2 linked regions of the Coturnix japonica genome follow. The protein of the gene in region 1 purifies or fractionates together with the protein of each later gene. This does not show direct contact. Links are inferred from orthologs where the notes say so. Each region holds a gene or a part of one and is shown in the gene's direction. Other genes may lie near its edges. The genes, in order: ZYX and ENAH.

Evidence for each region.
Region 2: the proteins of ZYX (region 1) and ENAH purify together in Homo sapiens (co-immunoprecipitation; 4 studies listed by BioGRID and IntAct, counting the BioPlex papers as one, with this or other methods). This does not show direct contact. The link is inferred for Coturnix japonica from reciprocal best matches to the Homo sapiens genes ZYX and ENAH.

The regions. Positions count from the first base shown.
Region 1 is NC_029516.1:69,743,410-69,746,949, reverse strand, and holds the end of ZYX (zyxin), read left to right. Parts: coding exon 1-76; intron 77-160; coding exon 161-330; intron 331-472; coding exon 473-651; intron 652-896; coding exon 897-1,017; intron 1,018-1,634; coding exon 1,635-1,745; 3' UTR 1,746-2,789; downstream 2,790-3,540. UniProt on the Homo sapiens protein: Adhesion plaque protein. Binds alpha-actinin and the CRP protein. Important for targeting TES and ENA/VASP family members to focal adhesions and for the formation of actin-rich structures.
Region 2 is NC_029518.1:15,043,160-15,047,461, forward strand, and holds the start of ENAH (protein enabled homolog), read left to right. Parts: upstream 1-1,273; 5' UTR 1,274-1,439; coding exon 1,440-1,444; intron 1,445-1,696; exon of another isoform or gene 1,697-4,302. UniProt on the Homo sapiens protein: Ena/VASP proteins are actin-associated proteins involved in a range of processes dependent on cytoskeleton remodeling and cell polarity such as axon guidance and lamellipodial and filopodial dynamics in migrating cells.

The DNA.
Region 1 (3,540 bases):
GAAGAGCTGGAGATGTTGACCCAGAAACTAATGAAGGATATGGACCATCCACCTTCAGTAGAAGCTGCTACTTCTGGTATGTTCTCTTAGTGAACAGCAGCAGGACTGAGACTGTGGTGGGTTTTTAAACCTCCTAATCCCTTTCTACTGCTGTTGGTAGAGCTCTGTGGCTTCTGTCGGAAGCCCCTGTCACGGACCCAGCCAGCTGTGAGAGCTCTGGACTGCCTTTTCCATGTGGAGTGCTTCACCTGCTTCAAGTGTGAGAAGCAGCTGCAGGGGCAGCAGTTCTACAACGTGGATGAAAAGCCCTTCTGTGAGGACTGCTATGCCGTGAGTAACTGAGACAAAAAGCTGCAGCGGGCTGAGCTTGCTGTGGCTGTTCTCCTCTGTTTTTCATTTCACCTATCGAGTGTAGTCTCCTGGGGATGGAGGTTTGGATTAATATTGTCTTACCTGTTCGTTTTGTGTTTAGGGAACCCTGGAAAAGTGCAGTGTCTGCAAACAGACCATCACGGACCGGATGCTGAAGGCCACCGGTAACTCATACCATCCTCAGTGCTTCACCTGTGTGATGTGCCATACTCCTCTGGAGGGGGCCTCTTTCATAGTGGACCAGGCCAACCAGCCTCACTGTGTGGATGACTACCACAGGTATGGAGGGAGCATGTGCTCGTGGTATCCTAAAGCAGGCAGATTCCCTCACATCTGTTTAGTTTCGCTGCAAAATAGACATGGCTTTGCCACAGCAAAGTATAAAAACGAGTCAGCAATGCTCTGTGTTAAAACGAAGGTCTTTTCCCCTCTATTATGTGACTTGTGCCTCTGCTTCCCGTACTTCTGTATGATGGTGAGAAACCTGCAGCGGTCACGATCTCTGCTGTATTTGTGTGTTGCAGGAAGTATGCTCCACGTTGCTCAGTGTGTAGTGAACCCATCATGCCAGAGCCTGGGAAAGATGAGACAGTGCGTGTGGTGGCACTGGAGAAAAACTTCCACATGAAATGTTACAAGTGTGAGGTAACCCTGGTGGCCCCGCTCTTCTCATTTACATCATCACTAAGCATCTTTGAACTTTCCTTTGCTGACCAAACACACTAATGTTGTTTTCAATGACTTGTAAACATGTTGAGCAAGGTTTGGAATCATAGAATATCCCAAGTTGGAAGGGACCCACAAGGATTGCCAAACCCAACTCCTGGTTCCACCCAGGACCACCCAAATTTCAAACCTTATGACTGAGGGTATTGTTCAAATGCTTCCTGAATTGCAGCAGCTTGGTGCTATGACCTCTGCCCTGGGGAGTCTGTTTCAGTCCCTGACCACCTTCTTTGTGAAGAACAAGAAAAAGGTTTGATGTTCACAGATCACAGGTTGATGAGCAAGGACTTTGCGTACATGTAGCCACTATTAAAGCCCTAGTATGGCAGCTGTTTCTGCCAGGGGAACTTGCAGGGATAACAGAGGGGACTGTGCTCACCTGCTTAAAATGGTTTCCCCAATTACCACAGTCATAGAAAGAGCAGTGGACTGTGAGCCATTGTTCTGATCTGGTAGGACATTGCCTACATTGTTGTCTGTGTCATCCTGGCCGTTGGCTGTCACTGAGCTATCCCTTTTCTTATTATTCCATTTAGGACTGTGGGAGGCCCTTATCTATTGAAGCTGATGGAAATGGCTGCTTTCCACTGGATGGGCATGTACTATGTATGAAATGTCACACTGTTCGTGCTAAAACAGCGTGCTGAGGGGCTTGGAGCCAGCATACCCTCGAGACCCCCTGCACTCAGTACTCTTTCCTTCCCCACCATTGGCCTACCCCTCTGCCTGACGAGGCAGACTGCTACCAGTGAAGATTCCAACACACAGTTGGTTACCCATGTAGGATTCACCACTTGTAGACTTCACTATGCGCACCCAATAAGAAAGGACCTCTTCTCCCACTGCCACTTCCTGGCCGTACTGTATATTCCAGGCTGAGGACTGTGACTGAGGTGAGTGCAAAATCTCAAGACAAGAAGAAGGACCAAATCTCCACCATCGCCTGGTGGAAGGAGCAAGAATGACCTGGTGGCAGCTGCTGGGAAAAGGCTGAGCGTTCTTCTGCTCCATGAAGCCAAGAAATGATTTCACATCATAAGGTGGAAGCCGCCTCCATCTCAGCACTGCTTCTGTCATAGGTTTTTCCCGTGCCACCTCATTATCAGGATGTCTTCCCCCAACGCCTTCATCACTTCTGGGTAAGAGTGTGGAAGCAGAATGTACTGGGAGCTTCTGTTCTAGTTGCTGGGAAGAGCTACCCTACTATAGCCTTTCTGCTTCTAATGGATTCTATTGGCTAACTGCCCTGTCAATATTTTTTTCTTCTTCCCTAGCCAGATTAAACTGGCAGTGTTTGGAATCCTGCTCAGCTCCTGAGTTTGGACAGTTTAACTTTTTTCTCTTCCTAAAATGAGTTGTTTCCCGGTGTGGTTTCTGGACAGTCAGGGTGGGCAAGAATAAGAAAACAGTCCAAAGAATGGCTGTTATAAGCATATCGTGAGGAGGTGCCTCAGTGAGAGGATATGAGATCTCAGCGCACTGAGGAGCTCTCAGTGTTCCAGCAAGAGTTGTTTCACAGCTGTCAGTAGGAGCTACGATGTCACTGCAGTGTACTGTCTGACTCTGTGTTACTGCACTGAGCCTCGCTCCTTAGACTAGAAACTCTTAAAACAGAGCAAACCTTTTGAATAACTACGCTGTCCGACCACTGTTTGCATCCAATAAAATGGTGAGGTTTTTTTTTCCATTAATACGTCTCTCCTGTGTTTCTTTAACAGCCCATAAGAAGTGATGTCTTAGGCTGTAGGGAATATATCGTTGCTATTCCACTCAGCCTCCCAGAGATGTTCAGAGGCTGAAAATGGCCTTTCTCTCTCCGCATACTGGTTTCCTTTTCAAGCTGTTTAGTTTCCTGCTTCCCCTCACTGAAAGCAATAGAATGCCACATTTCAGTACAGCAAGAGCTGCCTTACCTCTCAGACATACTGTATCTTAAATGCTGTAACCTAGACGTGGCCAAGGCCTGTCCTGCGACCTCCCCACCCCATCATGGTGGTAGTGTAATCCCTACAAAATCTTGCTGGCCTTCCTCTGGTATTGCTCCAGTAAATCCATGTCCTGGTACCAAAGTTGGACAAAACACTCTAGGTGTCTCATTGGAGAGGAGAAGGGAAAGGAAGATCAAGTGCACCCTCAGCAACTTTGCAGTTGACACACCCAAAGGGCAGGCTGCCATTCTGAGAGTCATAGACATGCTTGAGCATGGGGAAACTCCTTTCAATTTGTGAAGGGGGTCTATAAGAAGGAAGGGGACAGACTCTTTAGCAGGATTTCTTGTGACGGGACAAGAGGAAATTGTTCCAAACTAAGAGATCTAGATTGAACGTAAGAAAGAAGTCTTGCCATAAGGATGGTGAAGCACTGAAACAGGTTGTCCAGAGATGTGTTGGATGCCCTGCCCTTGGAGACATTCAAGGTCAGGCTGGACAGGACTCTGATCTA
Region 2 (4,302 bases), on another chromosome or scaffold:
GACCAATATCTGATTTGGCTAAGAACACCAAGCATGATAACACAAATAACGCTAATAGGTTTTTGTTAGGTTTTTCTTTTACTTTTATTCAGTGTGTAACAGCTTCTGTCTCTCTTTTCATCCCCTCTCAGGCAGACTTGTTGCTGAGGCACTTTCAGTGCTTTTTATACACCTGTCACAGCCAAAGTTCCTTTAGATGTGACTAATGTGACCAAACAGTCACATCAGAACAGCTGCATTACCATCCTGATATTTTCTAGTGTAGAGCAATTGGGATCTCTGAAAAGACTCCTTTTTGTCCCAACATCTCTGCCATTGTTTCTACCGATGTATCTCCTACTACAGCCAGCTGGATATAGATCTGGCATATATCTATATGGATGCTTAGATATATCAGTTAGATATAGATCTTCACGTTTATATTTGGCTGCTTCAAGTTATCTTTCACCGTCAGAATGGCTTACTTCTGAAACCTTTTATTTGGAGGACATTCTGGTGATACAGTAACCACAGACCTTAGAAAACTCCTGACTCGTCAAGATTCTTATGATCCACAGTCAGTCCCCAGCGTCCCGAGTGCTGAATGGAAACAATGAAGAGAAACGCATTTAGCAGGATTCATTTGAGTCCCCTATTTCAGACTGTGCACACATTGTTGTCAGAAGTACCCACTCAATTTTTAAGTGTATGATGCCGCTTTTCTTCTGATTACTCATCTGCCTTTTGTGATTCACCTCTACAGATACATTTTCATTGACATCATCCCTATGCCAGTAAAAACATGTTCATTTCCTTCACAAAATCGGTATCCATCAGTTTGAATTTCAGAGCCTGTCCTTTTTTCTCAAGTAGTATTTCTAACTACCGACTTTCTTTCTCATATCCTATATGTTTTTAATAACTCAATCCTAGAAAACAATGGCAGTTGTGAAGGAAAGATCAAATCAGTGATGCAAAAGCATCGCTGCTGCACAGGGCGGCACACGGGCGGCCTCAGAACAACGACACCCACCCATCACACCTGGACGCACCCCCGGCGATAGGCGGCGCAGCGCCCCGGGAGCCGTAGCCCCTCACGGGGTGGGCGTGCCCGCCCTCGCCCCGCCCTCCCGCGGCCCCGCCGGTGTCTCCGGCCTCCCCCGCGCTGCCGCCCTCCTCCCCTCGTCCCCCCGCCCTTCCCGCTCGTTGGTTCGCTCCTCTCCGCCCCTTTCCCCCACCTCTCCGTCCCCTCCCACCCCCGGCGCCCCGCGGTGGTCTGGCCCGGCCCGGCGGCGGAGGGAGCGGCGGAGACGGGCGGGTGGGAGGCGCCGGCTGCCGGAGCTCTCGCTGTCCGTTGAGGCGCCGGCCCCCGCGGAGCGGCGGCGAGAGGAGCCGAGAGAGACAGAGCGCGGCGGGGCGGGGGACAGCGCGGAGCTGAGCGAGGCGGCGGGAGCGGCACCATGAGGTGAGGGGCCGGGGCCGGGGCCGGGGCCGGGCGGAGGGCGGCGGGGCCCCCTCCCTATAGCGGCCGGCGCGGTGCCGGGGCTGGGGGCTGAGGAGGGGGGGATGGCGGCGGGCCGAGGGGAGCCCCGCGGGGGAGGGGCCCATTGTTAGCGGCGGCCGCGGCGGCGGCGGGGGGAGGGGCGGCCCCGGCCCCCGCGGCGGCGAAGTTGAGGGGCCTGGGGGGGGCGGCGGGGCCGGGCCGGGGCGGGGAGCGGCCGGGGAGCCCCGACCCTTGGCGGAGCTGTGCCCGCAGTGCCCTGGCGGGGCGGCCCAGCCCGGCGCCTTTCTTTCTCCGTGCCTTTCTGTCGTTCTCTTTTTTTTTTTTTCCTCCCCCCCTCCTTCTCTGCCCCTTCCCGGCGCGTGTTGCATTGCAGCAGCTGGGCTGCACCCTGCGAGATCGATACGGAGCGGGCGGCGGGGAGGGGGAATCCCCCCTCGGGGGATCCGCGATGTAAACAGCGCCGGGCGGGGGCCGCCCGCTCCCACTCGGGACCCGGCTCCGTGCGCCCCATTCATTTGTCCCCGCGGCGCTCCCGCCCCGTTCCTCCTCCCGTTTCCGTCGTCCTCTCGTCGGATCCGGCCCCAGCTGCCCCGCAGCCCCCAGGGGCTTCCAGCCGCTTTGTGTTGCCGAGGCCGGGGGCCCCTCCGAGTGCGGAGAGGTCCGCAGGGTGAGAACGGGTCGATCCCTCTGTTGCGGCGCTGTGTCCGTTCATGCAGAATCCTAATTACGGGTCTGAACTTCAAGGTTTTTGCTTTTGTTTTGTTTTTCCCCTTTTCCCCGTGTGCCTTCTATGCCAACGGTAGCACTGCAGCTGGAAGCGGTGGGACGTGGTTTGTCCCTGCCGTTCTGTTGGAAAATGCTTTCCCGTATTTCCCTCTCACTCTCTTTGTTAGCCGTAAGCATTCGCATGCTCCTTTCGCCCTCGTTTCGCGTTGTGCTGATTTATTTTCACCCATCTGCATCGCTGTAAAAGCGGGGTGCCCCGCAAGTACAAACTTACAACTTGAGCTCCCGGCTCACACCCGGACCCTTCAAACATGGGGTGCCCCTGACTCCCTTGGGCAGTCCTTAGCACGGACTTCCACCATAAACCTTTGGAGAGGGCCATGTATTAATCCAGTTTCTATGCTGGCAAAGTGTGGTCGGCGCGGAGCAAGGGAAGGTGTCCCAGCACCTTGCTGCTGCTGAAGCGTCTGCCTCAGGACCTCTGGCAGCTGAGAGGCAGTGCAAATACTTCCCTTAACCGGCATAACCGGGAAGTGCCTAAGTTGAACCTACCCTTAGGTTGCTTATTTAGATGTTGGAGTAGTTGTCTTCAAGCTTCTAGTTAGTGTACGCTAATGATCCTGTGCCTGAGTGCAGAAGGTGAAGCTGGTGGAAGGGAGACGGTGTTGGGAGTTGAATGGGCGCGCTGAGCTGTCATTGGGTATTTGGGAAAAATCTGACTTTAAAGGCTTGATTGCAGGGCTCCTATTAAAAAAAAGCAAGCTGTACCAATTAAACTGCACAAGTTAAGAAAATGATGTGGTTAAAGCAGCGTTTTCTCTCTATAGAGGCACTATTAAATTGTCTTGGTTTTGTTTAATTGCTCCAACTCCAGTACAATAGCAGGCTTTCACTGCACGCTCTCCCTTTGGACTTGTTTAGACTAGGATTGACGCTGTATTTCTGAGACATGTTCAAACCAATATCTGCACACCCTGCTACGCTTGGGCAATGTGTTTTAATGGGTGTTTGCTGGTCAAGGTAAGTCCTGATGGGGAGGAGCGAGAGAGTGAATAGGGAAAGCAACCGGTGCTTCAGATATAGGTTCTGTTCTTGTAGGTGTTGCTGAGAATAGGTTTTTACATGATGTTGATGGTTTCCTGAAATGCATAAACTGCATTCTGCTATTGCTGTTCTGTAGGTAAGTATGCAGTTGGTGCTCCGGTTATCATATAAATAAATACCAGAAGTAATCCTGTGGTGAGCTGCAGCCCTCCCCCAGCCCATAACTTTTGTTTCTGTTATGTCCTTTGGCCTTTTACATATGTGAGGGCCTAATCTTCAGTCATCTCAAGCCTGAAATAATTATGATGATTTGATGTTCAGATCTCACATTTTGTCTGGGCTGCTTAGGTGATCAGTTACCAAAGAGCAAACTAGTTTTCCTTGTGTTAGATCCAACTAAATATAGTTGTCGAGAGCTTCTTCATAGCATGAAGTAACCAACAATAAGGTAGGACGCAAACATCCATCAGCACATGTTGACCAGAGGAATTCCTGTGGTAGTTTGTTCTCTATCTGAATTAAAATGAAATGCTCTTTGGGCAGTATCTGCTGAGGCTTCTGGTTGCTGACGAACTTTTAATATTAGTATTCCAGTTAAGAGATGAGGAACTTGATATGAAGTTACTTGCTTTGGGACACAACTTGACTAGCAGCTTCCCCCCTAGCTTTGAGTAAACAGTTGATTTTCATTAACACTTGTTCCTCTTATTGTATTGTAGTTAGCTGAGTACTGCCCTGAAGATAGTTTCCTGAGTGCACAGTACAATAGGTGTCCAGGGATAGGTATATTTGGTGGGGTTTCAGCTTTGATCCAGCTGGGTTGTGGTGATGGTGTGGGAAAAAGTAGTTAAAATATAAATAACAGCAGAATTTTGTGCCCCGGTTCTAAGAACAGTATAACTTCCCATCATATTTATACAAGAAGCTCATCTGTAAACAAGATGACATTGAAAGATGTGTGGAAATCTGCATTATGGAAGCTGAGGAACAAAATGGTGTAGAATTGGGATTCTGCAGCGGAGGTTGACAGAATGCTTTTAAAGATGCTC